3 linked regions of the Caenorhabditis elegans genome follow. The protein of the gene in region 2 interacts with the protein of the main gene of each other region in a pairwise test. Each region holds a gene or a part of one and is shown on either strand. Other genes may lie near its edges.

Evidence for each region.
Region 1: the proteins of sma-3 (region 2) and arf-6 interact in a two-hybrid assay, tested with the Caenorhabditis elegans proteins (one large-scale study listed by BioGRID).
Region 3: the proteins of sma-3 (region 2) and mtch-1 interact in a two-hybrid assay, tested with the Caenorhabditis elegans proteins (one large-scale study listed by BioGRID).

What each region holds. Positions count from the first base shown.
Region 1 is NC_003282.8:16,942,134-16,953,556, forward strand, and holds arf-6 (ADP-ribosylation factor 6), read left to right. Parts: upstream 1-4,986; 5' UTR 4,987-4,994; coding exon 4,995-5,076; intron 5,077-5,143; coding exon 5,144-5,247; intron 5,248-5,337; coding exon 5,338-5,435; intron 5,436-5,518; coding exon 5,519-5,619; intron 5,620-5,839; coding exon 5,840-5,900; intron 5,901-7,246; coding exon 7,247-7,328; 3' UTR 7,329-7,601; downstream 7,602-11,423. Other genes in the region: Y116A8C.9 (Transmembrane protein 185B), read right to left, coding at 1-182, 882-977, 1,951-2,121, 2,700-2,897, 4,183-4,279, 4,341-4,439, 4,492-4,569, 4,621-4,667; rad-54.B (DNA repair and recombination protein RAD54-like), read left to right, coding at 7,934-7,976, 9,252-9,402, 10,368-10,596.
Region 2 is NC_003281.10:6,854,157-6,865,485, reverse strand, and holds sma-3 (Dwarfin sma-3), read left to right. Parts: upstream 1-1,517; 5' UTR 1,518-1,522; coding exon 1,523-1,661; intron 1,662-2,119; coding exon 2,120-2,211; intron 2,212-2,337; coding exon 2,338-2,412; intron 2,413-2,461; coding exon 2,462-2,550; intron 2,551-2,608; coding exon 2,609-2,673; intron 2,674-2,790; coding exon 2,791-2,876; intron 2,877-2,923; coding exon 2,924-3,019; intron 3,020-3,063; coding exon 3,064-3,122; intron 3,123-3,444; coding exon 3,445-3,697; intron 3,698-3,759; coding exon 3,760-3,840; intron 3,841-3,932; coding exon 3,933-4,013; intron 4,014-4,329; coding exon 4,330-4,395; 3' UTR 4,396-4,512; downstream 4,513-11,329. Other genes in the region: clec-158 (C-type lectin domain-containing protein 158), read left to right, coding at 5,915-5,960, 6,007-6,098, 6,152-6,486, 6,531-6,693; Mitogen-activated protein kinase kinase kinase zak-1, read left to right, coding at 8,682-9,098, 9,429-9,613, 9,670-9,861, 10,106-10,199, 10,246-10,323, 10,412-10,592, 10,649-10,875, 10,935-11,156 and 1 more. UniProt on the Caenorhabditis elegans protein: Involved in TGF-beta pathway. Plays a role in male tail tip morphogenesis.
Region 3 is NC_003280.10:7,368,121-7,378,006, reverse strand, and holds mtch-1 (Mitochondrial carrier), read left to right. Parts: upstream 1-3,840; coding exon 3,841-3,890; intron 3,891-3,935; coding exon 3,936-4,111; intron 4,112-4,155; coding exon 4,156-4,262; intron 4,263-4,316; coding exon 4,317-4,479; intron 4,480-4,525; coding exon 4,526-4,879; intron 4,880-4,926; coding exon 4,927-5,105; 3' UTR 5,106-5,392; downstream 5,393-9,886. Other genes in the region: F43E2.1 (Poly(A) RNA polymerase mitochondrial-like central palm domain-containing protein), read right to left, coding at 820-901, 947-1,093, 1,143-1,259, 1,306-1,401, 1,448-1,595, 1,646-1,803, 1,853-1,948, 1,996-2,220 and 3 more; rpb-4 (RNA polymerase Rpb4/RPC9 core domain-containing protein), read right to left, coding at 2,932-3,180, 3,253-3,362, 3,426-3,501; F43E2.11 (Peptidylprolyl isomerase), read left to right, coding at 7,712-7,847, 7,891-7,997, 8,045-8,146; F43E2.6 (Ovule protein), read left to right, coding at 9,703-9,825.

The sequences.
Region 1 (11,423 bases), on a different chromosome or scaffold from region 2:
ATTCGATAGCTAACATTAGCATATGTTCTCAGAGATGGACATTTTTCCAATAAAAATGGGCAAAGGGGTTTCCTTAATCCAAACCACCAAATATTGGTTTGTGGTGTTGAAGAGGGGCCTCCAAAGCCTGCTGACATGATTGCCATGAAGAAAAATGATACTTGAAGTGGAGCCATTGCGAGCTGCAAATTCATAAGATGATGGCCGTGAAAAAACTAGGCCAAACAATTGGTCTCTGTAAAAATTTAAAAATTCTGTGGTTTTTTCGCTTTTAAACTTGAAAAAACCGCTCCAAAACACCGATTTTCAATGCTAAATCACTGGAAAATCTTTAATCCAAAACCAAGAAGTGGGCGGAGTCGAAAATTTCCCATAGATTCGTTTCTCCGGAACCAGCATCTCCATTTAGGCTCCGCCCACTTATTGGTTCTGATTTCCACAGTTTTTTGAATTTCTCTCTCCAAAATAATTAATCCAAAACCAAGAAGTGGGCGGACCCGAAAATTTCCCATAGATTTGGTTCTTCGGAACCAGCAATTTCAGCTAAGCTCCGCCCACTTATAGGTTACGTTTTCTACAATTTTAAATTAAAAAACTTTAAAGCCATGAAATGGGCGGAGCCAATATGTGTGAAAAAAAAATTCCATAGATTTGGTTCTCCGGAACCAGAATCTCCATTTAGGCTCCGCCCACTTCTTGGTTCCAATTCCCATGATTTTTTCGAATTTTTTTATTAAAATCTTGGATTTCAGACGATTTCTGCTGTAATTTTGACACAAAAATGCCGATTTTCCGAGTTTTTCGGGAAAATTTTTTCCGGAGAATCAGATTTTCCGATTTTCCAGCTAACAAATCGCAACTCGTGTTCGCGGAGTTCTTACCGTATAGCTCAATTCTGATACTGATCCTTTATCCGGCCAATTCATCGAATCAAGCTTTCCAGTAAGCAGTACAAGGCATACCAGCGCTGGAATTACCTGAAAAATTGGAATTTTTGAGTGAAAGCGGGGAACCAGGACGTGGGCGGAGCCTAAACTGAAAAGGTGGCTACCGGAGAAGCGAGTCTATGGGAATTTTTCACTCAAAACTGGCTTTTTTAATTGTTAAATGTGAAATAGTAGAAAAAAAGAACCAAGAAGTGACGCGGAGCCTATGTTGGGATCGTAGTTATCGGAGAAGAGAATCTATGGGAATTTTTCACTCAAAACTGGCTTTTTTAATTGTTAAATGTGAAATAGTAGAAAAAAAGAACCAAGAAGTGAGCGGAGCCTATATTGTTGGGATCGCAGTTATCGGAGAAGCGAATCTATGGGAATTTTTCACTCAAAACTGGCTTTTTTAATTGTTAAATGTGAAATAGTAGAAAAAAAGAACCAAGAAGTGAGCGGAGCCTATATTGTTGGGATCGCAGTTATCGGAGAAGCGAATCTATGGGAATTTTTCACTCAAAACTGGCTTTTTTAATTGTTAAATGTGAAATAGTAGAAAAAAAGAACCAAGAAGTGAGCGGAGCCTATATTGTTGGGATCGTAGTTATCGGAGAAGCGAATCTATGGGAATTTTTCACTCAAAACTGGCTTTTTTAATTGTTAAATGTGAAATAGTAGAAAAAAAGAACCAAGAAGTGAGCGGAGCCTATATTGTTGGGATCGCAGTTATCGGAGAAGCGAATCTATGGGAATTTTTCACTCAAAACTGGCTTTTTTAATTGTTAAACGTGAAATAGTAGAAAAAAAAAGAACCAAGAAGTGAGCGGAGCCTATTTTGGGATCGTAGTTATCGGAGAAGCGAATCTATGGGAATTTTTCACTCAAAACTGGCTTTTTTAATTGTTAAACGTGAAATAGTAGAAAAAAAAAGAACCAAGAAGTGAGCGGAGCCTATGTTGGGATCGTAGTTATCGGAGAAGCGAATCTATGGCAATTTTTAGCTGAAATTAGCTCAACTCACGAAAAACGTGTGTAAAATCGCAGAATAAACGTGTTGGCGACGGTGAGCCGGAATGAAATGACGAGATCTGATGAGCACAACGGAGAGCACAAGAGCGTAGAGAACACCGACAGCGGCAAGGGAAAGGACCACCCATAGAGGTATGAATACGACTGCCCATGTCCAATCGACCTGCAAAAATTTGGGAAATGTTGATTATTTTAGGTAATTTTGGGGTTTTTGTGATTTTTTTTTAATAGAAAAAAATGGATTTTTTTTAGGCCAAGAAGTAGGCGGAGCTAATATGTGTGATAAATTCCCATAGATTCGCTTCTCCGGAATTATCATCTCCATTTAGGCTCCGCCCACTTCTTTATTCCGTTTTCTACAGTTTTAAATGAAAATATCCGCAAGCTAAGAAGTGGGCGGAGCCAATATTAGTGAAAAATTCTCATAGATTCACTTCTCCTAAACCGGAATCCCCATTTAGTCCCCGCCCACTTCTTGGATCCGTTTCTACAGTTTTAAATTAAAATTCCCAACAGCCAAGAACTGGGCGGTGCCAATATGAGTGAACATTTCCCATAGATTCGTTTCTCCGGAACCAGAATCTCCTGTTGGGCTCCGTACACTTTTTGGTTTTGCTGTGATTTTAACCAAAAAAGTGGATTTTTGGAGGTTTTTAAGCGAATTTTTTGGGTTTTCTAGTGATTTTTGTACTAAAAATTCAAAATTTTCACTGGAAAAGTCATTTTTCCTCGATTTTTTACCTGTTTATCCAGCTTGAAAGCGATAAAAACCAGCTGAACAATATTAATTGCGTAGAAAAATTCAAATTCGAATGGTTTATCATGCCGGAGGGACCATATAGCTATTCCAATTGATAATATTGATAAAGAGAATAATGGACAGAATACAATTGTCCATGGAAGTGGATATCCTGGTTCGAAGAGATAATCGAATTCTAGCTGGAAAACAAAATACGGGTTTTGGAGGGAAAAATGAACGGAAAATTTGGATTTTTGGCATTTTTTGGGGTAAAAAAGACTAAAAAACTAGATTTTTGGGCTAAAATACACCAAAAATCTAGATTTTTCTAGTTTTTTGGGTTAAAATACATAAAAATCTGGATTTTTAGCTGTTTTTAGAGTAAAAAAGACAACAAACTGGATTTTTTGCAGTTATTAGGGTAAAATGACCTGAAAATTTGAATTTTTGGCATTTTTTGGGGTAAAAAAGACTAAAAAACTAGATTTTTGGGCTAAAATACACCAAAAATCTAGATTTTTCTAGTTTTTTGGGTTAAAATACATAAAAATCTGGATTTTTAGCTGTTTTTAGAGTAAAAAAGACAACAAACTGGATTTTTTGCAGTTACTAGGGTAAAATGACCTGAGAATTTGGATTTTTGGCATTTTTTGGGGTAAAACAGACTAAAAAACCAGATTTTTGGGCTAAAATACACCAAAAATCTAGATTTTTAGCTGTTTTTAGAGTAAAAAAGACAACAAACTGGATTTTTTGCTGTTATTAGGGTAAAATTACCTGAAAATTTGGATTTTTGGGATTTTTTGGGGTAAAAAAGACTAAAAAACTAGATTTTTTTTGGGCTAAAATACATAAAAATCTGGATTTTTACGATTTTTTTAAAGTAAAAAAGTCCAAAAATTTTGATTTTTTCCATTTTTTAAGGTTAAAATATCGAAAAAAATAGATTTTTTTTTGTTTTTTGGGTAAAAACACCTCAAAATCTGGATTTTTTGAATATTTTAAAATAGAAAACCTTTTTTTATCGATTTTTTCAATAAAAAATTGGGCAAATTTGTGATTTTAAAGTTGAAAAATTGATTTTTCTTCATTTTTTTCATTTTTTCAGTGAAAAAGGAATGAATTTATGAATTTTCGAGTCAAAAACTGTAGAAAAATCGATTTTTCAGCTACTTTATTGAGCTTTGCTCTAAAAAATGAAGATTTTTCACTTTTTTTTCAAGCAAAATGGTCAGAAAATGTAGTTTTTTGGCTTGAAAAGGGTTATTTTTACACATTTTTGACCCATTTTATCGATTATTAAGGTCAAAACAAGCAATTTTGACAAAAAATCAAGAAAAAAACGCAATTTTTTCGGCTTTTTCTTGATTTTTGTCCAAAAAATTCGGTTTTTTCGCTGAAAAACTCGCTTTTCCACGTAGAAACTCGATTTTTGGCCATTTTTCTTCATTTTTATCTATTTAAATCCGCTTTTCCATCGTTTACCTTAATAAAAACCAGCGAAACAAATGTACAAAGAAAAATGTGCTCGGTAGCAGTGATTAGCATAGCCGAAAAGTCGACACGCATCACAATTTCGTTTCTGAAATGTCAAATTTCTTTATTTTTTCCACATTTTTCCAGCTTTTTCCAGCTTTTCCCACCTCGACGGTGGTTTTGAGCAAAAAGAGCAAATTCCGACGATGGCTCCGACGAAAACTAGGAGATTACAGGCCCATAGCGGCGCAAAAACGAATGCGTAGCTGGAAAAATCGATTTTTTCGGGAAATTTCTGATATTTTGAGGATTTCCAACCTAAATGAGACTTTTCCATCGAGTTTTAACGTGAATAATGCCGTGAAAATTAGCAGACAAGCGCAGAGAATTACTTTTCTGGAAAAAATTCAGGGTTTCTAGGTGAATTAGCTCGAAAAATAGACTTACGATGCGTTAAACGATCGGAAAAAGACTCCCAGACTTAATTCCACCATTTTTTGTTCAATTTTTAGCAATTTTTCATGATTTTTTCACTGAAAATCTGAAAAAATTGAATAAATCAATAATAAATTCGATTTATTCCACGAAAAATAAAACACGAAAACAATAAATCCCGTGCGCACCACTTGCAAATAGCACGCGCGCCGCTTGCAAAACTGGGCGGAGCCACGCGGAAATTGATTTTTTCTTCCTTTTTCCGCCGTTTTAAAGCGAATTTTCGCGAAAAATGACTCATTTTTGTTGATTTTTCAAGTTTTTTACTCAAAAATCGCACTAATTTCGGTATTTTTTGCCTAAAAATCACATTTTTAGATCGAAAAATGGGTAAATTCCTGTCGAAAATCTTTGGCAAAAAGGAGCTCCGGATATTAATGCTCGGACTCGATGCGGCGGGTAAAACCAGTGAGTTTTTGGCGGAAATTTCGATTTTTACGGCTAGAAATATGGAAAAAATCGATTTTTTTTCCAGCAATTCTGTACAAACTGAAGCTCGGGCAATCAGTGACCACAATTCCGACGGTGGGCTTCAATGTGGAGACTGTCACGTATAAAAATATCAAATTCAACGTTTGGGTGAGTTTTCCGCCCCAAAAACCCTGGATTTTGGCCTAAAAACCCCAGATTTTGGCCTAAAAACCCCCAAAAACCCCAATTTTTCTTCAGGACGTCGGCGGACAGGACAAAATTCGACCCCTCTGGCGACATTATTACACAGGAACTCAGGCGCTCATTTTTGTGATGGACGCCGCTGATAGAGACAGGTTTTTAGGCGAAAAATGCGGAAAAATTGGTTTTTTTCCTGGACAAAATCGATTTTTTCAACGGAAAAATTCGGAATTTTCAGAGTCGACGAGGCGCGAATGGAGCTTCACCGAATAATTAATGATCGGGAAATGAAGGAGGCGATTATTTTGGTTTTTGCCAATAAACAGGATCTTGCCGATGGTTTGTGGCTTTTTTGGCGGAAAATTTGAGCGAAATGAGCGATGCTACACCTAAAACTCGGAAAAAATCGATTTTCAGCTCAAAAATGAGCGATTTTACCCCGAAAAACTCGGAAAAAATCGATTTTTAACCTAAAAACTCGAATTTTCAGCTTTTTTTGCTTAAAAATGCCCGATTTTACTGAAAAAATGGATTTACTCACTAAAAATGCAATTTTCAGCGATGAAACCACACGAAATTCAGGATAAATTGGGATTGACGAGGATTCGAGACAGGAATTGGTAAGAAACATCAAAAACTCGAGGAAAAACTGATTTTTCTGCAAAAATACATCAAAAAACACCCATTTTCTCTCGGAAAATGGGTAGAAAATGCAGATTTTGGTGTAAAAATCAAATTTTTCCGATTATTTCTCACTAAAAATCTCGTTTTTATGCAAAAAATACAATTTTTTTAAATTTTCTCGGAGAAAAAGCATAAAATAGCGATTTTCGCTTAAAATTCCCTCAGTTTCTTCTAAAAAACCTCCAGAAACGAAATTTTTCTTCTTTTTTTTTAACGGAAAACTCTAAAAATTCGCCTTTTTTTCGGTTTTTTCACCAAATAATTCAGATTTTAAGGCATTTTCATCAGTTTTCGCACTAAAAATCCAATTTTCCACCTGACAACGCTCAAAATTAGAAAATTTATCGTTTTAGAGCCATTTTCCATCAAAAAATGCAGTTTTTCAGCATTTTTTCAGTAAAAATTCAATTTTTTCATCAAAGTGCTTGAAAATCGAAAATTTTCCGTTTTTAACCGATTTTCTAACAAAAATTCATATTTTCAACATTTTTTTTTCATTAAAAATTCAATTTTTCCCTTAAAAAACGCCCAAAACTCGTTTTGCCGGCTTTTCCCGTTTTTTCACAAAAAAAAAACCATTTTTCCATTACAAAGTGCTTGAAATTCGAAAATTCTCCGATTTTCGACCAAAAATTCCAGATTTTCAGCTATTTTAAGCCAATTTTTACTCAAAAACTCATATTTTCCACCTGAAAACGCTCAAAATTCAAAAAAAGTTCCTTTTTTTAACCGATTTTCTACAAAAAAAAAGCAGTTTTTCAACAATTTTTCACTAAAAACCCATTTTTCCTTTAAAAAAAATGTTCCAAACTCGAAAATTGTCGGTTTTTGGCCAATTTTCCCAAAAAAAATCGAATTTTTGCAGATTTTCAGCTATTTTCATCCGTTTTTCACGGAAAATCCAATTTTCTCATCAAAAAGTGCTTGAAATTCGAAAATTTCCGTTTTTACACCGATTGTGCACCTAAAATTCCGGATTTTACGGCATTTTCATCAGTTTTTGCACTAAAAAACCCATATTTTCCACCTGAAAACGCTCAAAATTCGAAAAATGTCGATTTTAAACCGATTTTCACCTAAAATTCCGGATTTTCAGCAATTTTTCCACTAAAAAAACCCATTTTTCCTTAAAAAAAAACGCTCCAAACTCGAAAATTGTCGGTTTTAGGCCAATTTTTCACCGAAAAAATTGATTTTTTTCAGATTTTCAATCAAAAACCTTCATTTTTCACCTAAAAATCCACGGATTTTCACCCATAATTTCCAATTAATTTCTTTGCAGGTACGTCCAACCATCATGTGCTTCAACCGGAGACGGCCTACACGAAGGCCTGACGTGGCTAAGCCAGAATTGCAAGCCGTAAAACACATTATCTGAAGAATTTGGAATAAAAAATTCGCGTCTTGCCAAATATTAACAGTATTTTTTTCACTTTTTATCTGCAATTTTTTCTGTTTTAAATTTTTTTTTAATTCAAAAAAAAAAAAATTTTTTTTTCAAAAAATTTTCAATCCCTTAAATTTTAACATTGTGTGTGCCATGCTTATTCCTATTTTCCCTCTCTTTAATTCACAGAAAATACTCGAAAAAAATGCTCAAAATGCTCCCCAAAAAAATAAATTTCCAAAATTTCCCCCCCCCCCCCCCCCCTAGGTGCCCAATTTTCACTTATTTCCCCACTGTTTTTCCCGAGTTCCCCCCCCCCCCCCGAAAAAAAACACTAAAATCACTGCTTTTCTCCCCAATTTTTGCTCCATGACCGAGGTTTTTCTCGGCCGCGGCGACCTCCAATTTTCTCCAAATATATTCGCTGCCATTATCTGTGATTTTATCGTTTTTTATGGAGAAAAATATATTTAAAAAATCGATTTTTTGGCCAATTTTATAGTTGATTTTCTTTAGGACGAAATATTTTTTGCTGCCAGATTTTCAGATTTTTAGGCCAAAAATTTAAATTTAATATTTCAGATGTCCCGAGTGGTTCTCAACGTGGATAGTTATGAGGGAAATGGTAGGCGCCTACGCCTATAGGCTGAAAATTTCTGAAAAATTGGCATTTTTGGCTGAAAAATTCGAAAAAAAAACGACCAAAAATGGTTGGAATCTGAAATCCACCATTAAAGGGGCGGAGCTTAGCCGGACAATTTTTTAGGGAACGCATATCGCCGGGAATCGAATCTATGTACAATTTCTACAAAAAGCCAATAAATGGGCGGAGCAATGCCACGCCCATTTTCCCGGGGCTCGCAACGAATTTGTTTCCGTAGATCGTGTTCTTCCAAAAAAAAAATCTTCCAGAAATTGAAGCCCCGCCCACAAAATGGCAGGTTCACGATCTACCAAGAAATGGGCGTGCCCTACTAAGCTCCTCCCACTTTCGCTGCAAAAATCGTGATATCCGAATATTTTTCGGAAAAAATCCCGAAATTGACGCTCCGCCCACAAAATGGTCGGTCCGTGATCTACCAAGAAATGAGCGTGTTCAGACATGCTCCGCCCATTTAAGGGGCGTGGTGTATTACGTCCCACCCACTTTCCCGGGACTCGCAACGAATTTATGCCCGTAGATCGTGTTCTTCAAAATAAAATCTTCCAGAAATTGACGCCCCGCCCACAAATTGGTCGGTCCATGATCTACCAGGAACGGGCGTGGCTTATTATGTCTCGCCCACTTTCGCTGCGAAGATCGTGATCCCCGAATATTTTTCGGGAAAACAATTCAGAAAGTTAAGCCCCGCCCACAAAATGGGCCGCCCATGGTCTACCAAGGAGTGGGCGTGCCTTGTTAAGCCCCGCGCAATTTAGGGGCGTGGCGTATTACGCCCCGCCCACTTTTCGGGTCTCGCGACGAAATTGTGACCGCAGATCGTGTTTTTCGAAAAAAAATCTTCCTGGAATTTAAGCCCCGCCCAAAAAAGGGCCGCCCGCGATCTACCAAAAATCCATTTTTTTCAATTTTTTTCAAAAATGGACAAAAATTCGGCAGATCGGAATCTACCGCCCATTTTTCGGGTCTCACAGAGAAAATATATCTCGGAGCCCATCTTTTTCATATTTTTTCAAAAATGGACAAAAATTCGGCAGATCGGAATCTACCAAGAAATGGGCGTGGCTAGGTTTGCCCCGCCCACTTTTGGGTCTTGCGACGAAAATGCGTAAGGCTTTAAGATTACGGGACACATTTTCGTCGCAAGACCCAAAAAATGGGCGGAGCTGAACGAAATATTTATGCTCCGCCTCTTTTGTGGTCGAAAATTTTATTTTTCGAAAATTCCCAAAATTCCAGACACCCCGAGCGCCGAAATCGCCCGTTTTGTCGTTCTCTATGGAAAAGCTTCGACTCGAAAACACAAAATTTGGGAAGGAGACGGTCTTCTCGTGTGTTTCACAGATTCGTGTCTCCTGAAGTCGGAAGATGAGCGTGACGTCATTTGCAGGTTGGTGCCTGGCTTCGTGAAAATTGGAGAAAAAATCGATTTTTTAGTTGAAAAATGTGAAAAATAGGCATTTTTGCCCCTAAAACTATGAAAACTTTGAATTTTTTACTAGAAAATTGGCGAAAATTTGATTTTTCATCTCAAAAAATGGGAAAATTTTGAATTTTTACCGAAAAATTGGCAAAAAAACTATTTTTTATCCTAAAAAATGTGAAAAATTCGATTTTTTTACCGGAAAATTCGAAAAAAAATTGTTTTAAACCTCAAAAAATGTAAAAATTTGAAGTTTTACCCCGAAAACATTAAAAAAAACAATTTTTAGTTGAAAAATGTGAAAAATAGACATTTTGTACCCAAAAAGTGTGAAAAAATCGATTTTTTTACCGGAAAAATTGGCAAAAAATTATTTTTCACTTGAAAAAATCAGAAAAATAAGCTTTTTCTACCTCAAAAAATGTGAAAAATCGAGTTTTTACCTGAAAAATCGAAAAAAAAAATTTTTATCTCAAAAACTGAAAAATTAGATTTTTTACCGATAAATTGGCGAAAGTTTGATTTTTTTTATCTCAAAAGATGAGAAAAATTCAAATTTTTACTTGAAAAATCGAAAAAGAAGTTAATTTTACCTCAAAAAATGTGCAAATTTTGAATTTTTACCTGCAAAATCGGATAAATAAGCATTTTTTAACCCGAAAACTGTGAAAATTTGGAGTTTTTACCGCAAAATTGCCGAAAATTTGGTTTTTTTTACCCCTAAAACTGAAAAATTGGCGAAATTTTGAATTTTTACGTCAAAAACTGTGCAAAAATCGAATTTTTACCGTAAAATAAAAAAATAAAAATTTTACCTCAAAAACTGTGAAAATTTTTACCTATCAAATCGAAAAAAAAAACCATTTTTACCCCTAAAACTCTAAAAAATTCAAAATTTCCACAAAACACTTGAAAATTATCGATTTTTCCAGATCCTCAGCGCTAAAAGGCCTGGACCAGCTTGAAGACGGCCGAATCATCAATATCGGATCCTGGAGCGTCGAGATTCAGGAGAGAATTGCTACTGGGCCTCCCCAGAAGCCCATTTCGGCCCAAAAGCCCGAAATCCAGAGCCCAATGCCTCCAATGACGCCTGGAAACTCGGAAAACGTGGAAAATCGCAAGCGCGGCGGCTTTTCAAGCCCGTTTTTAGGCATTGAGGTGTGGACACGCCCAGAAAACCGTGCCCCCCTAGCAAGCTGGGCGCGGTTTTTTCTAATTTTTTTTGAGAAAATTCGAATTTTCCACAAACATCGAACCAATAAAGGGGCGGAGTCTAAATTTTTCAAACACTTTTTTTTCAAATTTAAATTTTTTTTTCAACCGAGTTTCAATTTTTGTCTTCCAACAAAACAAAACAACCAGGAAATGGGCGGAGCCTAGATTTCGCAAAAAAAAAAAAAAAACTAAGCTTCGCCCATTACTTGGTTCAAATGTTTTTTTTGTTGCTAGGATACAGTTATTTTGTGTTTCTTTTTTGTTTTCACAACATTTTCACAAATTGGAGTTTTGAAAAAAAATCTAACCAATAAAGGGGCGGAGCTTCAAGTTTAAGAAAAATTTCGAAAAAAAAAAAGTTGAAAATTTCGGGTTCAATAATTCTTCAAAAAAAAAACACAAAAAACTAACCAACAAAGAGGCGGAGCCTAAAATTTGAAAAAAAAAATGTGTAAAAATCAAACCAATAAAGGGGCGGAGCCTAAATTTTCAACACACTTTTTTTTTTCAAAGTTAATTTTTTATTTAACCGAGTTTCAATTTTTGTCTTCCAACAACAAAAAACAACCAGAAAATGGGCGGAGCCTAGATTTTGAAAAAAAGAAACTAAGCTCCGCCCATTTCTTGGTGCAAATTTTTTTTTGTAAAATAATTATTTTGTTTTTTTTTTGTTTTCACAATATTTTCACAAAATTGGAGTTTTGAAAAAAAACAAACCAATAAAAGGGCGGAGCTTAAATTTTTAAGAACAATTTTGTAAAAATCTAATC
Region 2 (11,329 bases):
GTTTTTTGTTCATCTAGGCTCCTTATTTTTTAGGCTCCTTATTTATTAATTTGTTCTTTTTTTTTTCAAATTTGTAGTAGCTCCCCGAATTGTTTGTCCCCATCTCTAAACATAATCATTTGAGTTCATCATCGTTGGATCTCTACAGATCAATCTTTCGCCTTTTCTTTCTTCCCCCGATGACGTTTTTCTTCCTCCAAAATACCGATTTCAACTGTTTTTATTTCGCCCTCTCACTATGTTCATGTTTTTGAAAGAATAAATTGCTCTCTGACTTTTTTTTTTTTTCTTGCTAACTGTGTCCCCAACCATCCTTTGTCCCCTGTTCCCTCTTCATTCTATTTCAACGAGCGGTCACCGATGTGACCAATAAGCGCAAAGGCACTAAGAAATTGGGAAAATTGAGAGAGGGTTGCGCCATGAAGAGACGCAAAGATTAACACAAGGGCACATTTACCTTTATTCTACCTACATCTATCCCCCAACACAACGGACACTATTTTATATCGGTTGCAGGGCGTGGGGAAAGGTCACCACCAACACTGCCCCAGTCTGATGTGATTCCATCCGGGTTTCGCAAATACTTTTTCAATTTCACGTTATTCAACATTTTTATGATAGAAATTCATTTTGAGCAAATGACATAAACAACATGAGATCATAGTGACAATGTTTTCAAATCCATATATTTTTTCGAGATGATTAAAGGTGGAGTAGTGCCAGTGGGGAAAGTGTTAAAAACTATTCCTATGGTGCCAAAAAGACCGAATATCATAATTAAACCTTTCAAAATTTTTTTTGAAATTTTTTATTTTATGTCAAAGAGTGGCAACTATTATATGTGTATTTAAACAAAATTCCCACTGGCGCTACAGTACTCTGCCTTTAAATGGAGTATTGCCAGTGGGAATTTCTACTCGAAAAGTCCATGAACGAATATCATAATAAAAACTTCGATTAAAAAAAAAAGTTTTGAATAGTTTTAGTAAAGTGACAAATTTTCGTGAAATCTGGAATTTTTTGGACAATTCACTACAATGTTGAAATAGAAATATTCGAAAAATAATTAAAATGTAATATATATGGAAATCTTCTCTGATCAGAAAAGAAAATAACATTTTGGCATTCTTCCAAAATGTGAGAACTTGCCACGTTTTGTCTGGAACATCCCTCATCCCAACTCAAATTGTTCAATTAAAAAGAACGGTGTCATGTCATGAAAAAAGAATTTAAAAGTGCAAACAAAAGAACGATTCATTTTTGTTTTCTTTGTGTTCATCTTCATTTTCTCAGTCTCTCTTTACCTCCTCCGCCTTCCCTGTTATCACTTATCATCTCATCATTTCCTTTACTCAAACATTCACTTTTAGCCTTGTTTCTCTCTTTCTCTCATTCATTTTCCGCTCAGTTTACCCACTTTTTTTGTTTCTGTTACCTGTTACTATTTCTTATCGCGCAAAACAAAAATCGATAATAATTATTGAATTAGTTTTTTTGAAATGAGAGCAAAATTTCAGTCAAAATGAACGGATTACTGCATATGCATGGTCCAGCTGTCAAAAAGCTTTTAGGTTGGAAAATTGGAGAAGACGAAGAAAAATGGTGTGAGAAGGCTGTTGAGGCATTGGTGAAAAAATTAAAAAAGAAAAATAATGGATGTGGTTAGTCAAATATATTTTTTAAAGGAATTTATAATAATTTAGGGAGGGACATTTCTGAAAAAGGGTCTCGACGCGCTTATGAAAGTTTCAAAACTATTTTTGTGATTACCTTTAAATTTACAGTAGAAATATTTGAGCCTCCTTCCTCTTAGTCTAATTTTTCTTACGATTTCTTATGATTTTCATTTTTTTTAACTTGCAAAAAACTATAAAAACAGTAAGAAGAAAGCACCAAAAAACAAACTTAACATTTTCGAATGTATTCGAAAATACTATTGGCGCGGCGAGACCCATCCGAATGTTAAGCATATTGTTACGGATACAATATAATATTATGATTAACATTTTCCGATGACCCTTTTCGATTCATGAATCAAAGTGCACCTTATTTATAAGTTAGATCATAAATATTAAAAAAAAAGAAATTCAACCGATCCATTTCAAATTCTAAATTCCAGGAACCCTCGAAGATCTGGAATGTGTTCTAGCAAACCCATGTACAAACTCAAGATGCATTACGATAGCAAAAAGTTTAGACGGTCGGTTACAGGTATGTGGCGCCGTTGTGGTTGCTTAACGTAAATTTGTTCGCTAATCAGACAACTGTGATAACTTTCAAAAATAACACTTTGGTTTGAAATAACGACTTTTTGACGCCAAACTTCCGGCTTTTCAGGTATCCCATAAGAAAGGTCTTCCACATGTGATTTACTGTCGAGTATGGCGGTGGCCGGATATAAGTTCTCCTCATGTAAGTTAATTGGATATATTAATTTGAAATTTTTGAATGTTCATTTCAGGAATTACGTTCAATTGATACATGCTCCTACCCATATGAATCTAGTTCCAAAACCATGTACATCTGCATTAATCCATATCACTATCAGAGGTTTGTTCTGAAAGTTGTTTAAAATTGGAATACATTTCAAAAATGAATAAAATTCCAGATTATCACGACCACAAGGCTTAAATTCTTCAATGCCATCACCACAACCAATATCATCTCCAAACAGTAAGCGTTGGATCTAAAAATTGTTTAAACATATCAGAATCTTCTATTAAAAAAAAACAACTAAACTCTCTTTAAAATTCTCTAGGGAAATTAAATGAAAAATACATAAAATTGCAGCTATCTGGCAGTCTAGTGGAAGCTCAACGGCATCTTGTGCAAGCTCGCCGAGCCCGTCGGTTTTTTCAGAAGATGGAGGAGAAGTGGTTAGTTTTTTTGCAATACACATTTTTGCAAAAATTATAATTTTCAGCAAGTTCACCAGCGACCTCCACCGTTCCGTCATCCCAAATCCTGGGCCCAAATTACGTATTTTGAGTTGAATTCGAGAGTTGGAGAAGTTTTTAAAGTGAGGTTTTGATTTTTCAAAACAAAACAAAATTGGAGTTTCAGCTAGTGAATCTGAGCATTACAGTCGACGGATATACTAATCCATCAAATTCAAATACAAGGTAAGATTTTGAAAGACATTCGAAAGTAGAAATAAATTGATTTTAAAAGTGAAAAAACCAAAAAATAATTAGTTTTTTTCGATTTCGGTCGGACTTCTAAAAAATGTTCTTACAAAATATAAATATTATTAGTTTGATTTAAATTTCCTCCATTAATACGGTATAATACATATCTTCTCTATAATATTATCATAGTTATTAAAAAGTGGACACTTCGAGTTAATTAACGTGAAAATTGCTGATTCGAAGCTTTAACTTCGAGAAGTTCTGAATAATAATAATTCTTACCGGTTTCTTTATTAAAATAATCCGGAAATTTCAGAATATGTCTTGGACAATTAACCAATGTGAATCGAAATGGAACAATTGAGAACACACGGATGCATATTGGAAAAGGAATTCAGCTTGATAATAAAGAAGATCAAATGCATATTATGATTACAAATAACTCTGATATGCCAGTTTTTGTGCAATCCAAAAATACGAATCTCATGATGAACATGCCACTGGTCAAAGTCTGCCGAATACCACCGCACAGTCAATTATGCGTTTTTGAGTTTAATTTATTTTTTCAAGTGAGGTTTTTAAAATTTAAAATTATTTTCATGCTATTCTTCAACAATTGTCAAAAATTAAGATGTTGGAACAGTCGTGCAACGATAGCGATGGATTGAATGAACTCTCCAAACACTGTTTTATTCGTATTTCTTTTGTAAAGGTTTGTTCTAAATGTTTGAATTCCTTGTAGATTTATACTTGTTAAATTTATCGTGAGATTTTCAAATGAAACTTCGATAAACAAATTTTCAGGGCTGGGGAGAAGATTATCCACGTCAAGACGTCACATCCACGCCTTGCTGGCTTGAACTTCGGCTCAATGTGCCACTGGCTGTAAGTTTTTTTGAGAAGGAATCGTATCTGGAAATTTATCAAATTATCAAAAATATTCTATAAAATTTTTGTACATTTTGTAAATATCATCCAAAATTAAGCCATATTTCTATTTTGGGTACTTTTCCGATTTCTGCCCCCCCAATTTTTTAAGTTCAATATTTCAATTTCAATTCTCACGTGAATGTTTATTTCAATACTAAATAACAAAAAAGTTAACGTTTCATTAATGAATATATCGAAAACATTTTGGGGGCAGAAATCGGAAAAGTACCCTATTTTGTTTGAGTTTTCTGTGAAAATGAAATATTTTCAGTATATCGATCAAAAAATGAAGCAAACTCCAAGGACGAACTTGATGGAACCAAATTCAATGACATAATGATTTGTTAAAAACGCTTTCCTTCTCGCAACCACCTGAATTCAGAATTTACCTACTCTAATGATGATACTTGTAACATGTTTTACATTTGCTGGTTCTTTTTAATTATGAAGATTTCTTTTAATGTTGTCATGTTCTTCGAACATTTACTTAACGAAATTCTCAGAATGATTTCGCAGTTTTTTTCGGTCACGACAAAAACGCCCCCTAATTCTTGGGATTTTTAATTGTTTACTCTGAAAATATGCTCGAAAATTTTGAGCAAATGATTATTTATAACAAATCCAATACGTAAAATTAACTATTAGATCCATTCTGGGAAACGTCCACAGACAGCTCCATAGTTCCAGAGATCGGATGCACCTTCATTTTCTGGATGCTTTACATAGTTGCAGAAGACGTCATTGATCAGCTCACTGCGAGCAGGGAATTGAGAAATTGAGAGTTGAAGGCAAGATTCAATGCTTCTGGAAATCATATTTAAAAAAAAACAACTTGCAACTGTAACTAACTTTTCAAAGATGGTCTGTCCTGGTTCAGTTGCAGACCAGCTTTTCCACATGAAAGTATTATCAGTATGCTTCTCATCAGTAGTGAAACCAGATGATGAATTCCTGCATTCTACAGTAGCCAAAACGGTTTTATCTGTAGTCTCGCAGTTCTTCAAACGATGTCCATCGACAATCATTGATCCACGATCCAATTTCTTTGCAGTAAGGAAATCACGAAGAACAGTGGAAAGTTTGGTACGCTCATCAAAATTTTCAAATGATGTCAGGATTGATCCATCTTTCTCACAAACTTTTTTGGCTTGATTTGGAGAGATGAGAGTATCAGACAAAATTGCCTGAAAAACATTATAGAAAAGAGGCAAGGGGCAGCAATTGAAAAATGTTTTTAGATTTTTAGAGCTCATTCTGACCCTCTTTTCTTTTTGAAGAAGAACCCTAAATTGATTTTGAGCAAGATTGGTCTATCAGAAATCATTTCTTAAAAAATAAATAATTCGGAATATACCAGGAATTCAAAAAAAGTAGGATACCTTAACACGTCACATCCCAGTCATCGAGTTCTTGGGGGTTGGAGTTCTTTTGAATGACATATATCCATCTGGACATCTCATGTTGCAGTCAGCTGAAATAGTTTTTTCTCAGAAAAATATGTTTAAAGAAGTGGTCTTACCTGCTACGAGAGCTACAAAAAGAGCTGAAAGGATTAGTTTCTGCATGTTCAGAATACTAGAAAGTTATGAATTTTTTGAAGTTGCATATCAGTATTTATACTCTTCTCTGCAGTGCTCAATATAACAATTAAGTTTCTAAAATTATTTCTGCAAACTTATGGGTGAGAACTCAAAATGATACTTTACCAATCTTATGGAAAATACAGTGAACTTTGGGATATTTTCCAATTATTGATGGGAAACTTTAAAATTTGCATCTTCCTTTTCTCACCTGCAAAGGAGTATAAATAGTTCTCTAAATAGTCGTAAAATTCATACTTTCCTGGTATTCAGAGAATGCAGAAATTTATTCTTTCAGCGTTTGTTGTGGCTCTCGTTGCAGGTTAAGCTTGCTTAAAGACTTTCTTTCCTGAAAAGTATAATTTCAGCCGACTGTGCCCTGAAATGTCCAGATGGCTACTTTTCATTCAAAAGAGCTCCATCAGCCAAGAACTCGATGACTGGATTGTGGTGTGTCAAGGTAATACACTTGTTTACAATCTATCATTTTTATGTGCAACATTTTATTTTCAGGCAATTTTGTCTGACACTCTTATCTCACCAAATCAAGCCAAACAAGTTTGTGAAAAAGATGGATCAATCCTGACATCATTTGAGAATCTTGATGAGCGTACCAAACTTGCCACTGTTCTTCGTGATTTCCTTTCTGCCAAGAAATTGGATCGTGGAGGAATGATTGTTGATGGACATCGTTTGAAGAACTGCGAGACTGACGATAGAACTGTTTTGAATGCCGAACCATGCAGAAACTCATCCACTGGGTTTACTACTGATGAGAAGCACACTGATAATACATTCATGTGGAAGAGCTGGGCTGATACTGAACCAGGACAATCCATCTTTGAGAAGTTAGTTGCATTTAGAATGCCAATAGTTAATATATGACTTTCAGACAAATCGAATCTTGCCTCCAACTCGCAATTTCTCAATTCAAATCCCGCACTGAACTGATCAATGACGTCTTCTGTAACTATGTAAAGCATCCACAAAATGAAGGTGCTTACGATCTCTGGAACTATGGAGCTGTCTGTGGACGTTTGCCAGAATGGAACTAAATTTTAATTACACGGATTCATACCTTTTTGAAGTAAATATCTAATTTCTCGATTTTTTTAAAGAACTTGACTAATCTTAAAAACGTGATTGCTCGTAAATCAGCCACAACTTCGATCCTGCTTTGTCTTTACATTAGGAGGAATTCGGTGGCGTGAGGTTATTTTTTATAAATTAAAAGTGAAAAGATCAACAAACGTGTCTGCTATCAAATTGGAATCATGGAAATCATCCAATTGCGAGTTATCCAGTGCTACGTAGACCTCCTTATCCAGTGTTTCTTACACCTCCTTATCCAGCACTACTGACACCTCCTTCCCGTACCAATTTTGATGTCCTTCCTACCTTCACCTACAGACTAAGACGATGCCTAAAAATTAGACCCACTCTTGAACCATCCATTTCGGATATACTGATTCCGCCTGTTTACCAGCATCCTGACATTTCACTGTACCGGAGTTGCTGATTATGTGCCATACGTCCGACATCTGAGCATCTGGAACGTATAGGATGCTGCCACTCGCATCTTCTCGAGACTTGAGCGATTTGAGAGCTCAGCTCCATCTTCGGTAAATGTGAGCTTGTGCCGAGCCCACCATTTCGTGAAGGAAGTTCTTCTGGGGTTTCTTTCGGAACACGAAAATGTGCCCGTATATCCTCACGGATTCAGCTAATCCTCGACACATGGTCCCTCGGTGTTCACATCATCCAATTGCGAGTTATCCAGTGCTACGTAGACCTCCTTATCCAGTGTTTCTTACACCTCCTTATCCAGTACTACTGACAGTAATGATTGGTGTACTTACACGGAATTTCAACTGACAATACTCCACCTTCAAGTTCTGTGATCCTGCAAAAAGTTCAGTGTCAACTTCACCGCATAAAATTTGCATTTCAACTCTTTTTCTCCCAATATCAAACTATTTTCTCATCAAATAATCGGTTATCATTGTCTGTCTCTCCCTAACTTTAAAATACTTTCTCCTTCTCATGTCTCTCTCACTCTCCATCCCGACGGGAAGGTTTGATGATGCATGGGAAGGGGGTACTCTTTTCTTCGATTCGATTTGTTCTTGTTTTCTCTAAACTCTCTCATTCTGATTTACTATCTTGTTCATTTGAAAGTATGTCTAGGAACCACGAGGAAAACAAGAGGAAAACAAAGAACAAGGAGTATAAGTGCATGGTTTTTCTTTTTCTTCTTTGCTTTTTGCAGTCGAGCTGAATTTTTAATCGTTCTCCTCTGTCAATCGAGGCTGCCAATTGTTGACTTATTTGTTTCTCTAGGTCTCAAATGTCTACTCCCACACAATTATTCTAGTTTTGACCAATGCTTTTTACGAAATCTTTCACAATTAAACTGTATTCTATGACCTTTTTCTTGAAACATCAAAGATCAGTTTCAAAGTTTACAAATAGTTTTTTTGTGTAATTCAAGTTGGAAGATTATTGAGAAGATACTCAAATGTTTTAATTTGACAATATATAACACTATTTTTTTGCAATGTTTTGATACATATTTTTCACAAAAAAAAGATTTTCAAAAGATATAGTTCTGCAGATGCTCCAAAACTTTGCTTCAACTTAACATACTCCTATCGCCCATTTTTAATTTCATTTTTTTGCAAATTGTTTATTTAGAAGTTAGTCAGATCAGCAAAATTATCAGATTGAGAATAGAAATTAGATTATGAAATATACCAAAAAGGCGCCATTTTCCCGGAAACGTTGCTTTCGTTTCTTGCTTGACACTTTTTCTATGTATTTTACAAATTCAGCACCGATAGGCACCCCGGCACATTTAATTCACGTTAGGCTTTTTAGGCATGCAGGTATTTCTTGCCTGAAAGTTTTTCTACTTTTTCTGAAAATTTGTATCTCACTGAAGTAATTGAAAAATTCAGTCTGTAAAATATACGTTCTCTATGCCTTAAGAGATATCCGAAAAAAAAAAACAAACTGTTTCTCAGTTTTCAAAATTTTCCAGAAGATGTCAACTCCAACATCAAATGAATCGACATCCTCTTCATCAAACAATTCCGATCAACGTGTGCTCTTTCCAGATATTCAAAGAGATGATATTCAAGTTGGAGATCATATAGGAGTAGGCACATTTGGAGCCGTTTTCAGTGGAAATTGGACACTTCCAGATGGTAGTCAACGAACAATTGCACTGAAAAAAGTTTTTGTGTTGGAAAAAGAAGCAGAGATTTTATCGAAAATTCGACATAAGAATATAATTCAGTTTTATGGAATTTGTAAAGCAACTGGAAATGATTTTTTCATTGTGACAGAGTATGCTGAAAAAGGAAGTCTTTATGATTTTATACATTCGGAAGAATCTCAAAGTTTTGCCTCATCATCTGGTGGAAACTCATTTGATGTCGTTGTTAAGTGGGCGTCTCAGGTGGGAATATTTTTGTGAGTTTTTAATTCATAAATAGGAGAATTTCTAATAATAATAGTAATTTGAAAATGTAAAAATTGTAGGTTTCGTGGCTTACTACAAATAATTTTAAAAACCTTTTGTTTTGATTAGAGTTTGTTCAATTTGGAACATAGGATAAATAAAGTTATTAAATTTAGACAAAAAAGTAAATGTACATTTTAGCAATAGGCGTGAATCAAGTCGCCAAATGTTGATAAAACTTTTTGTAGGGCTAGTAGGGCTAGATTAAAATCAGTATTTTTTTAAAGAAAATACAAAAAATAAAACCTTCAACATTTAAATATTCAGATCGCAAGTGGTATTCAATATCTCCACTACGACGCAGTTGACACCATTATTCATAGAGATTTGAAATCGAAAAATGTCGTTCTTGATAAAAACCTTGTGTGTAAAATTTGCGATTTTGGAACTTCCAAGGATCTCACACATTCTTGCACAGCACCGTCGTGGGGTGGAACGGCCGCTTGGATGAGGTAAGTTTTCAAATTTTCACAACTACTAGAGATAGCAGAAAATATTAAAACTTTAGCCCCGAGATGATACTACAATCAGAAGGTCTAACTACTGCAACAGATGTTTGGAGTTATGGAGTTGTTCTTTGGGAAATTCTATCAAAAGAAGTACCGTATAAAGACTACTCAGAGTTTCGAATATTCACAATGATCACTCAATCTGGAATTACATTGGCAATACCCCCATCGTGTCCAGCTCCATTAAAACAGTGAGTTTAGTTTTTTTTTTTAAATATCAATTAAATTGAAGTTTTCTTTTAAGAATATAGGAAAAATCAACCATAAAACACTCTTATGCGTACTTTAATTGAGTAAATTGAATTTGAAACTCTAATGTTACCAGTAGAATATTCAAATTTCAATTTGCTGCGCAAATTATCATTGAACTTTGTGAAAGGTTTTGGCATTCTGATTATTCAAATAAACTTCTAAATTTATGATAATTTCTTTTAGATTAATGAGTAATTGTTGGAAGATGACACCGAAAGATCGAGCTAACATGCGCCAAATTCAAGGTGAACTCAACAGACTCGCTGGAAATCAAAAAGTCAGGGTTTCTAAGTTAAGCTTATCAAGTGTATAACTTAATTTAGGTAATGGACGAATGTGAAAAGTTTATGGGATTGGAAGATTGGAAAACTGAAATCGAGAAACAAGAAAAAAATGTTGAGGTATTTATGATCATCGAAAAAATTTATTCATTTTGAAATGTTTCAAAAATATATCATTGGATTTCGAACAGTTCCAATTTTTTTGTAGAAAATGAGAAAGGATCTCGAAAAAAGGCGTGAGCAACTAGAAATCCGCGAGAAAGCCCTTAAACAACGAATGAAAGTCGAGCAAGCAGTCTTGGATTCGGCACGTCATCCACCAGAGGATGTACATCAATGGAGTGAGCATCACACTTCTCATTGGGTTGAAACTGTTCTTGGCAGAGTTGGTAAGCAAACATTTATAGTTTAAAATCATAAATTCTATACTTTGGAAACTTTTCAGCAAACGATAAAAAGTTTTTGGACAGAGTGAATGCGGCGGTCTTCAGAAATCGGATAACTGGCGCTCGACTTTTGGGAATGACACAGAATGATTTAGAACATCTCGGCGTTCACAAAGTTGGATCTAGAATAGAATTAATGAAAATGATAAGAAAATTGGCGGATACTCAGAAGGCTTTGCATAATTTCCCAACTTTGGAGCAAGCAAAAAGGATTGAAATGACATTGGTGAGCCTGACTTTTTCAAAAAAAAAAAAACCAAAAAACTCGCAAACCTTTTGTTTCAGAAAACTGAAAAGGAAGCTGCTGGACAACTTGCCAATGATGTTGATATAGTGATTATAGTTGGGATGTACGTAAGAAAAATGAACGCAACACGACGAAAATTCAAATTCTACGCGGATTCGGATTGGATTGATGATACTGATATTCCAGCAAAATCAAAGTCAAAACATGCGTCATCACTTATCAAGACAGTTTGCTTTTCAGTTCTTGATGAAAACACAAAGGTTTCTAAAATATCAAATAAATAAAAAAAAGCAGTATTTTTCAGAAGCCAATCAATGAGCCAGCATGCTCAATATCTAGTGGAATGACAACAAATCCAGATTGGATTACTGTAGATACGGAGGATGATGTTAAGATTAGAGTTATCGTTAGTGTATACTACGCAGACATTGTG
Region 3 (9,886 bases), on a different chromosome or scaffold from region 2:
AAAAGGCTCGCCTGATTTACAGTGTATGTACCGTAATTTATTGAATTTTTGCTTTTTATTTTATTTGTTATACAAATTGTTCACACCAGGCAACATTCCAGAACTGATAACTCTGCTTTTTATACTTCACTCTCAGTTTTCATAGATTCAGGTAACTTAACCGGTATACAGAGAAGAACAGTCGATCCCCAATTGCATAATTAATTTTTTTTGAAAAATTGTGTATGATAAATACACAATTTGTGATATTGTGTGCCAATATATATTAACAAGGAAAGCTTATTGAATATGTAAGTGTATATACTCCAAAACCATGAAGCATGCTTCATCCAAAAACTAAAACAAGTTGCAAATGGAGAGTTCGTTTTGGTTTTTACATCGCTGTATGATGTTTTTAGTTCGGAAAACATTGACGCAGAAATGGATAACACAAAAAAAATATTTATTACACAAAGAGAGAAAAGTAGTTATTGAAATATAAAGAACGAAAATAAAGAACGAAGAAAAAACGAGAGGCAGAGAAAAATGTCATGGCATATCGGGAAAAGGAACGGGTATGTGAAAAAAAAAACAAATGGTCAACATTCAGACCGGTATATATGAATTCTAAACAAAAACAAGTGAGTCGAAAAAAAATTTACAAATGATTTACACAACTCGAGTGTATTTTATTTTCCACTTCTATGAGTTTAAAGGGAGGCACATTAATATGAAATGATCTCGCATGAATGTGGCTTTCTTGAAACTCATAGAAGTGGAAAATAAAATACACAGTACAATGCACAATGTACACAAATTATTTACCCGAACGGCAAACTTTCAGAAGAATTGGGAAGATTGTTGAATCCCGAAGATCGGGTGTGGTTGTTGTTGTTGTTGTGAGTAGTAATACATCTCCGGTCTGAAAGTAAAACATTTGGGATAGTCTTCCTGAAACTTAACTAACGCTGTGAAGACGATTTGCTGCTGCATCATTTGTCCTTGCATCATTTGAATCTGATGATGCATTGCCACCTGTTCTAGCCATTGCTGATACTCGACAGACCCGACCAATGGCATATTGTATGGATCAGCACCAAACTGCATGTCATAGCTGAAAAAAAATCATTTTCAATACAATAATGAGTAAAATATCAACTCACTCCTGATAGAGAACTTGTGGAGGCGGTACTACTCTCTCATACGTTCTATTCCTTGTGATTTCCATGACAGTTTTGAACATTCCTTCATGGGGCTGCACCAACAAGCTTTTCAATGCTCTGAAATAGTTAGTTTTTTGAAATAATAAATTACAATTCAACTTACTCGAGAGTTTTCACAAGATCCAAAGCATTCCGCGCACTTCTTCCTGGATTTCGCACATCGTAGGCGTCGAGAATAGTGATCTGATAGTCTTGATCCCTGCAACAATTTTTTGTTATTTTGAGTTTGAAAAACGACGACTCACTTTTGAGATAGAGCTTCAATTTCACCATTTCGCATATTGAATCGATAATTCAGCAATACCACATGGTTGGAGTATTGACAAGCGAAAAGGTAGAGAAGCTGAACAACAGTGAGATCATTCGATGGTCTCTTTCTATGCATTGAAATAGCTGAAATAAATTAAATTCCAATTATTTCAATTGATCATTTTATCACGAACTGTTTTCATCAAGAGGAAATTTGAACTCGTGACGTAGTTCCGCCAAGTCCGACAATTTGAAATTGCCGCGATGAAAAAGATCACTGTGGGTCTGGTGAAGATTCGGTAGAATATCATACCATTGCAAAACATGAATGAGCAGAAGAATAATCGAGTATCTGAAAGAAATGGTGACTTTGCTCTGACTTTTTGCAGGTTAGAAATTACGAGTTGGGGTAAATTCGCAAATGATCTTCAGCTCTCCCTTCTGATTTCATCCATTTTTTCAAAAACATCACGAGAATTTTGAAGCGATCATCGAGTCTGAATAAATTAGTTCAATAAGTGTTATTTCCAGAAATTAATCTTACTGGCAGTAAGCATTGATATACTTTGCGGCGAGACTTGTTCGAGGATTATCATCGAATGTTGCACTCAAATCAACTGGCACATCGTTGATTTTGAATCGGATGATCGGAACCTTTGCCGTTTGCACAAACGAAATTCCGCTGACGACATTCTCTCCAAAAATGTTCTGCCCTTCCTTACTGTACATCATGTCTCGAAAAATGGCTTGAAGAATGATTACCGGCAGTCTGCAAAAGTTATTATAAATCGTCAAAAGTAAGGCTGCAAAACGACTTACTGTTTTTTATTTCCTGTTGCCGTCGCACACACACACAGATCAAGATCGCTGTCTTTCGAGGCACAGTGCGTCGGGAAACTTCCAAAAACGCTAAGTCCACGCAATTTGATTCCTTGCGAAGCGAGTTGTTTGGTAACTCCTTCGGATTTCAGGTATTTTCGAACCAACGCCACATAAAGCTTTCGTTCCTCCAACATTGATTGGCTCTGAAAATTTGGATTCAAATTATAAACATGCGAAATCTCTACAATTGGTAAAAATTAACCAGTTTCCCATCCTACCTGTCTTTGATTCATATAAAATATATTTATATCTTGTTCGAGCTGCTTGAGAGAAGGATGATCGCCTTGCAACTGAAAAATTCTAGTACATTAACAAATAATGTGAAAAATAAACTCACAATGCTCTTAAGGCCTTTGAGAAAATCTGGAGACGGTCTGCTCAATTTCTGCACCATCTGGTTCAATAGTGTGATTTTTTCAACAAAAAAAAACAATATGAAACCAGTATTCATTTTCGATTGAACAAATTATTTGAAAAACATTAATAAACATTTCCAAAATTTCATTTCATTGTATCAAATAACACATTATGAGAGATCTCATAGGACAATTACAGTAACTTGAGAATACAGATAAATATGGGATTAGTTTGCTTGTATTTATTGGAATGTTCTTTTGGATTGCAGATCCTTGAGAACTTCCTCTAGTTCAGACTCCTCGATTTTGTTTTCCAAAGAAGGAACTAGTGCTTTGGCTTCTTCGGCATTTTCAGGGCAGAGATTGGCAATCTGCGCAACTTCGAATTTGTGAAGATGCTTCTCGGAGAAAATCGCTCGAACTGCACGGATAGTTTCGCGATTTTTGAATCGAGACATGCGGCGAGCGTAGTTGAGAGTTTTGATGAAGACCTGAATTCGTTTAATATAAAAATGATATTATAAATCAATAAATTTAATCGACTGAAATAGTTTTGAGACTACCTCGCTCATCTCTTCAATTTCGTCTTTGCTTTCACTCGATTGACGACGATGCTCCAGAAGCAAGTAAACCTCAGCGGTCAGAAGAGCGTCGCATGTTGTTGTTTCGAATTCTGAAAATATACCGATTAGGAAAAATCACCAAATTCAAAAACTCAGTAAAAACAAAACAATACCTTTCGGAAATTTGCATTCAGCGGCATCTTCCTCGACTTGTCCATCTGACTTTTGATTTCCTCCACCGGAAGACATTTTCTAAAAATATTTTTTAGATCAGTGACAGTGAGATTTAAGTGAAAAACAATAAAACTGACGGAAATTTATTCAACTATCAGAAAATTGTTTTTAAGACAAAAAATTCTGCAATTCTTACACAGAAAGAGGAGTGAGATAACGTGCGCACACATTGCGTTTCAGTCTCCGCCCACTTTTTTGTGCGGCGAATGTTTATTGTTTATCCGCTCATTTTTTTTATCTTCGATTTTTCTCATTTAATGTCTGATTGCTATTTTTTATGAATATAACTATAGTTAACCCAAAATATTAGTTTGTATTTTCATTTGTTATTAAATTAATTATTTTCAGTGAATCATGGCTGAAGGAAATCAACAAGACGCTTTCCTTGGGCTTGCTCCAGAAGATGAGAGTTTAGTCTTATTGAAATAGATTTGAAATTCAGTTTTACAGGAGAAATTCGCCAAGAGTCTTATTGCCAAGCTCGCTTTGAGCTCGTTGTCGCTTCCTTTGACCGTGACACGTACCCTTATCCAGCTTGGTCATGAACCGTTCCCATTGTCTACAGGAAAGACTCTCGTCATTGCAGGAAGAAATGCGTATTTCCTTCCTAACTTCTTCAGCTATAGTAGGATTCACGAAAATAATCTTCGGTAATGATCATAAATTTAGTGAAGCAATTGGGAACTACTCGTGGATATATCACCCTTTGGACTGGAATCGACTCTGCTATCGCTGCTTTGGCTGTTCAGGGTATTGCTTCTCACCGCACTCAGCAGGTAAACAGTTTTCTCATTGAAAGTTCCTGAAAACCGTAAAAAATTATCTTACAGTACATCGACGAGTACTACCCCAATATTGGAGGACCTCTTTTAAATCAAGATAAAGAAGAGGATGAACTCACCGATGCTGAATCATTCCGAAGAGTTATTCGTAACGGATTCCGCGATTCTGTCATTCGTGTTGTTGCTGTTACTGCTGCACGACCATTTGCTGGTAAGTTAAATTATTTGCGATTAAACTGTATAATAATCTCTTCCAGTCTGCTTTGCTCGTCAAGTTGCTCAAGTTATTGGCAATGAAACTAAATACACTACCTGCGCCCAGGCTCTGGCCGTCATCGGAAAGCAGGAAGGTCCAGGAGGACTTTTCAGCGGACTTGCTCCTCAGATCGTTGGAGAGCTTCTCGTCATTTGGGGAGTTCATCTAATTACTCACGGAATTCAAAGAGCTATTCTCCGCATTGAATTTGGAGACACAAAGAATAAGGACGAAACGAAAGCCAAGGCTGCCAAGGATGTTCACAAGTTCATCCATACTGCTGTTCCATTCCTCGTCAACTCCTTCGGCTACCCATACAGTGTTGTATCCACTGTTATGGCTGTTGCTGGATCAGGTAAGCATGCGAATAACAGTATCTTTTAAAATAAAAGATTATTTCAGGACTAGCCGTTTCGTTCCTCCCATATTCACCATCCTTCAACAACTGGCATGGAGCATGGGACTACCTTCGCCCAATTGGTCTCAAGCGTGGAAACCGCCTGTTCCTTCGTGAACAAGTGGGAGCTGTCACTGTCGGCGTGGATCAACAACTTTACGCTAGCAACTCTTACTTTGCATAAGATTTTCGTCCCCAACTTCATCCAATCTTCGCTATAATGTATTTTTCGAGTTTTGCTAATCCCTTTTCATATACCAATCATCGGTTGTTTTAGACTCAAATCTCATAGAACTAAAATGTTCCTTTAATCCAAACCCGTACTTTAGATTTTCGATTTAAATTTCAACATGTGTCCCGTAATTTATTAGCTTTAGCGTTATCCTATGATGAAGTTAAATCTACAATTTAAAATTTTATAGTTTTTTTTTGTAAACAAACTACACTCAAAATAAAAAAAACTGCGTGGCGTGTACTGCAGAAAACCTCATATTTAGGCCCCGCCTTTTTCTCGTCCACTCACGGAGAAAAGGCAACAATATGGGGGCCAACCGAAAACATCAAGAGAACCCGTGATGGCAAAACGGGGTGATATCTCAACTCCTGTGAAGAGAGCCAACAACCCAACCGCAGTCGCCAGGGTACCCGATGATCCATCCAATCGGCCATGATAGTAGAATTCGACAACAACTTGTCTATATTGCACCGGGAAGCCCATAGCAACTGCTTCGAAACGAGCGACTTGATACGCTAAATGCGACTTCCGTTCTATTTCTGGACCCATTTCACCTTGACTATGAACTTCGAACGAGTGTTCGTTGGAAATCTCATATCGGCATTCTGAAAAATATATGATCTTGTATCATCATTTTACTAGATATGAAGCGCTGTTTTATGTTTCTACATAGTAGATCTTTGGCAAGAAGAATCCCACTGGCCATGTCCATTTTGAGACATAATCACAAACTGGAGGAAAATTCAAATTTTCTAAGTAAAAATGCTCTGGAAACTTCTCGAAAATTCAAAGGAGTTCTAGAATGTGCTAGAACTTTCTTGTTCTCAATTTCGCAACTGCAACATTGTGTTTTGTAATACGATAACACAGGGGTTTTGGAGATATGAAGCTTTGAAAACTCACTGATAGTAAATATGTCGCCTCTTTTCCCCTTCTTTGGTTTCTTCTTTTTGGCTACGTCTTGAAAGCAAAGTCCGATCACGTGAGCTTACTTTGAAATTTTTTGATGTTTTGAAATTGGGATGGGCATGAAGTTGTACATTTTGTGATCAGAAACAGTCTTAGCTTGAGCCAAATTTTTGCCTTTTCGTCCGTGAGTGGACGAGAAAAAGGCGGGGCCTAAATATGAGGTTTTCTGCAGTACACGCCACGCTGTTTTTTTATTTTGAGTGTAATCTTTTTCAAATTTTGTTTTCAGATAAGGCAACTGATTAGCTAGTGGGGTGAGGATGTAAAATCAAAATCTTCTTCGCTGTCTAAAAGTGACTCTTCTCCAATTGGCTTGCAATGGACTGCTTCTTTCTTTTCTTCCGAGACACTCATTTTTTCTATTCGTTTCTGTCGGTAACGTGTTGTTGAAAGTGGGACGAGAGACGAAAAGACGGAAATAGAAACAAGGCAAGCCTCCACGCCTTCACAAGAAGAGCTTTCGATCCGATTGACTCCTTTCTCCGTCTCCACGCTTGTCGTTCTACTTTCTACATCTCACCTTCACTTTTGTTCTGGCTACGTTTCTCAAGAGACTCCATAATAATGCACAATCACATTTTCACCTAACTAATCTTCCACATTTATATGCCTGCTCACATTGATTGTTTCCTGAAGCAAGGATCCACTGGGTTCTTTGTTGCTCATTTCATGTGCGCTGGGTTTATAAATCAGCAGCAAGCTGAAATTATCATTCGAGTGCCTGAAAGGCCTGTTGCTGCAGCTGCAACAATGCAAGTTCTTGATGATATAACAGCTGAACTAGCGAATCTAGATCATCTTCGTCAACGTTCCATCCGTGAAATTTTCATGAAATACAAAATACGTTGCGAAAACAAGAAAACATGGAATTAGATAAAGCTGCTGAAGTCATAGTAAATTATCCAGATCCAAGAGCACACTATATTTTCAAAGTTCAAAAATAACTTAGGTTTCCATTTCACTTTTTTCTGGAAATATCCTTTATTAACCAGACACGAGGTTTTAGGGTTTTTGAGCCAACCCCGGTCTTGACACGACAGATTTTTGTACAATACGAACAGGCGTGCGCCTTTAATGAGTACTGTAGGTTCAAACTTTCGGAAATTTCATTAATTTTTCATAGTTTTTCGATGAATTGTTTTTTAGCTAATCGAATAAACAAAAATACATACTTTTAACTAACACAAACCGTAATAAAAACTGAAAAATAATTGAAAATTCCGCTAAAAAAAACTTGAAAAAAATGTGCTACCATAAACCTTTTTCCCGCGGTGAGACCTTTTTAGAATAAATCCATGCGCCTGTAGGAAGAGCTTTCAGAATACTGAAATTAATTCAAATATTATACGATATTGGTGAGACTGATGCACGTTAATTCCAAAATTTTATCGAATTTTTGTATGTCGTCACGACTCGTCAGTTTCCGAGAATTTTGAGTTTTGTTAAGAACTTATTTAGGTGTCAAATCAGTCATCAATTTTATTCATTCAGCTCTGAAGCGTCAAAAATAATACTTACAACTTATCATGATGAAAACTTTAATTCCATTCACCAATTCAGAGTCTGAATTTCAGACTTTAGTTGCAATGACATCAGTACATCCGATTACTGTAGTTCGTGAACTTATACAGTTTGGATACGAGCCTTTCCCAACAACTTGTGGCCGGAAATATATATTTTTTGGAGAAGAAATGGCAATTCTTCCGAACATCTTAAGTTACAGTAAGAAAAGTCTGATCCCCTTATCTTATTACCTTTGTTTCAGTGAAACAACTCTCCAAGGCAAAAAAGTTTTCAACTCTATTTAAAGGTCTTGATTCTGCCATCTGTGTGCATATTATAGGTGGAACAGTTGATGGATACATGTGGAAGGTTAGTGGGAATATGTAGTTAATAGTTGACGACAGAATTTGTTTCAGTTTTTTGGACAAGTTATGGGCGATATAAACACAGATGTACGAAAGAAGCAGACATTATGCACTTCACTAAAATTCACATTACGGTCAGGGTTGGGCGGCTAACTGTTTTTTCGGCTAACAGCTAATTCGGCGAATTTGGAAAAAAAGTAGGTTAACGGTTAAAAATCCGCCAGCTTTAGCAGTTTCAGCTGGTTTTTCACTAGTTTCGTGGAAACTTTGGTTAATAGCTCCCCGGCTCTTAACTTTTGAATTTGGTGCCCAAAGCTATCCGTTCAACATGTCAGTGTGTAGAGACCTTTTTTATCTATCAAACAAGCCTAATTATTCACTTGCAGCTTGCTTCTGTCTTGAGATGAGAGTGATTTTCGAGTTTTTTCGGCTTTTTCAAAGTTAAACTTTGGTTAATAGTTCCAGCTCAATCACCGAGATACCCCTATATGCTGAAGTCTATTGGAGCTTCAAACAAAGCATTTTTGCGTTCCAATCTTTCCATTTGGAACCGGTCGTTAAAGCTGCTGCCAGAGAAACTAAACCGATCAGTCTTTGCTTCCCATTTAAATGTTATTCCCATTTGTAAACTTATTCCCCCAACTTGCTCCCCCAAACTATACTATGGTTTATAGGATCAGTTTAGGATCTCCTACCCGTTGATCATTTTGTGATACCATTTAATTTTCTTTTGACGAGAATAACAACACAATTTTTCACACAAATTGGGAAAAATATTATTAGGATAGAATGTAATTGTTTTCGAAACATATTTCCTTCTCATGAGTGTCATGGCGAGTCGAACGTCTGACATTTCAAAATTCGTTTATTAACTTCCTCCAACGATCCACCACAGAGGCGCGAGATTCGCAACTATATTAATTGTACTACAAGACGCATTCTCTTATTAAAAACATCTCGAAATGTGTATTAAGACTTCTCCTTCCGGAAGGAGAAGCTAGAAAGGACCTGAGAAAGCAACGTATCTGTTGTGAGCGTGCCAACCACAATTTTTTCTAAAACAAGAAAACTAACGTGTTCTCCTGGACGTGGAAAACCTTATCAAGATTACCATTATTGTCTGTCAGAATTGATATTTCAATCATTTCGAAAGAAACTGACACTAATCAAACATTGACAACTTGCATTTTACTAACAAAGTGAGTTTACATACAAACGAGAGCTTACAAGCAGGGGAGAGCGGCGATCGAAAAAAAATCGGCGATCGGCGATCGCCGATCGCCGACACGTTTTTTTTTGTCGCCGATCGCCGATAATAATTTTTAACGCGGCGATCGGCGATTGCCGTTAATATTTTTGTCTTCGGCGATCGGCGACCGGAAAATCTGAAAAAATCGGCGATCGCCGCTCGGCGATTTTCTTGCACTTTAGATTTTTACAAAAGAAAATGCACTGTTCAAGTGTTAAATGTTCATTATGAGGTTATATAAGTGCATTTTGCAACTTATTAATTATGAAAAGAATACAAATTCTTGTTTTTCTTCAAAAGAAAAATTGCCGTCTAATGAACTCGGCGATCGGCGATCGCCGACCCTTTTCGTCCTGTCGGCGATCGGCGATCGCCGATGGCCGCTCACCCCTGCTTACAAGAAATCGCCGCGCGGGAAGATTTCATTACACAGTTTAAATTATGTTCTTTTCAGGGAAATATGGGCAAGACCAAAGCGGAGATTCAAAAAGAGGAACGAGACAACCGATACAACCGAAGACACGCTGAAAGAGAAAGCGCTCAGGCAGAGCAAGAAAATGTGAGTAATCACGATATTAATCAAGTAAGGTCTATAGATTTATAAAATCTGAAGAATAAAAAGTTTTGAAAAAAGTAGTTTTCAT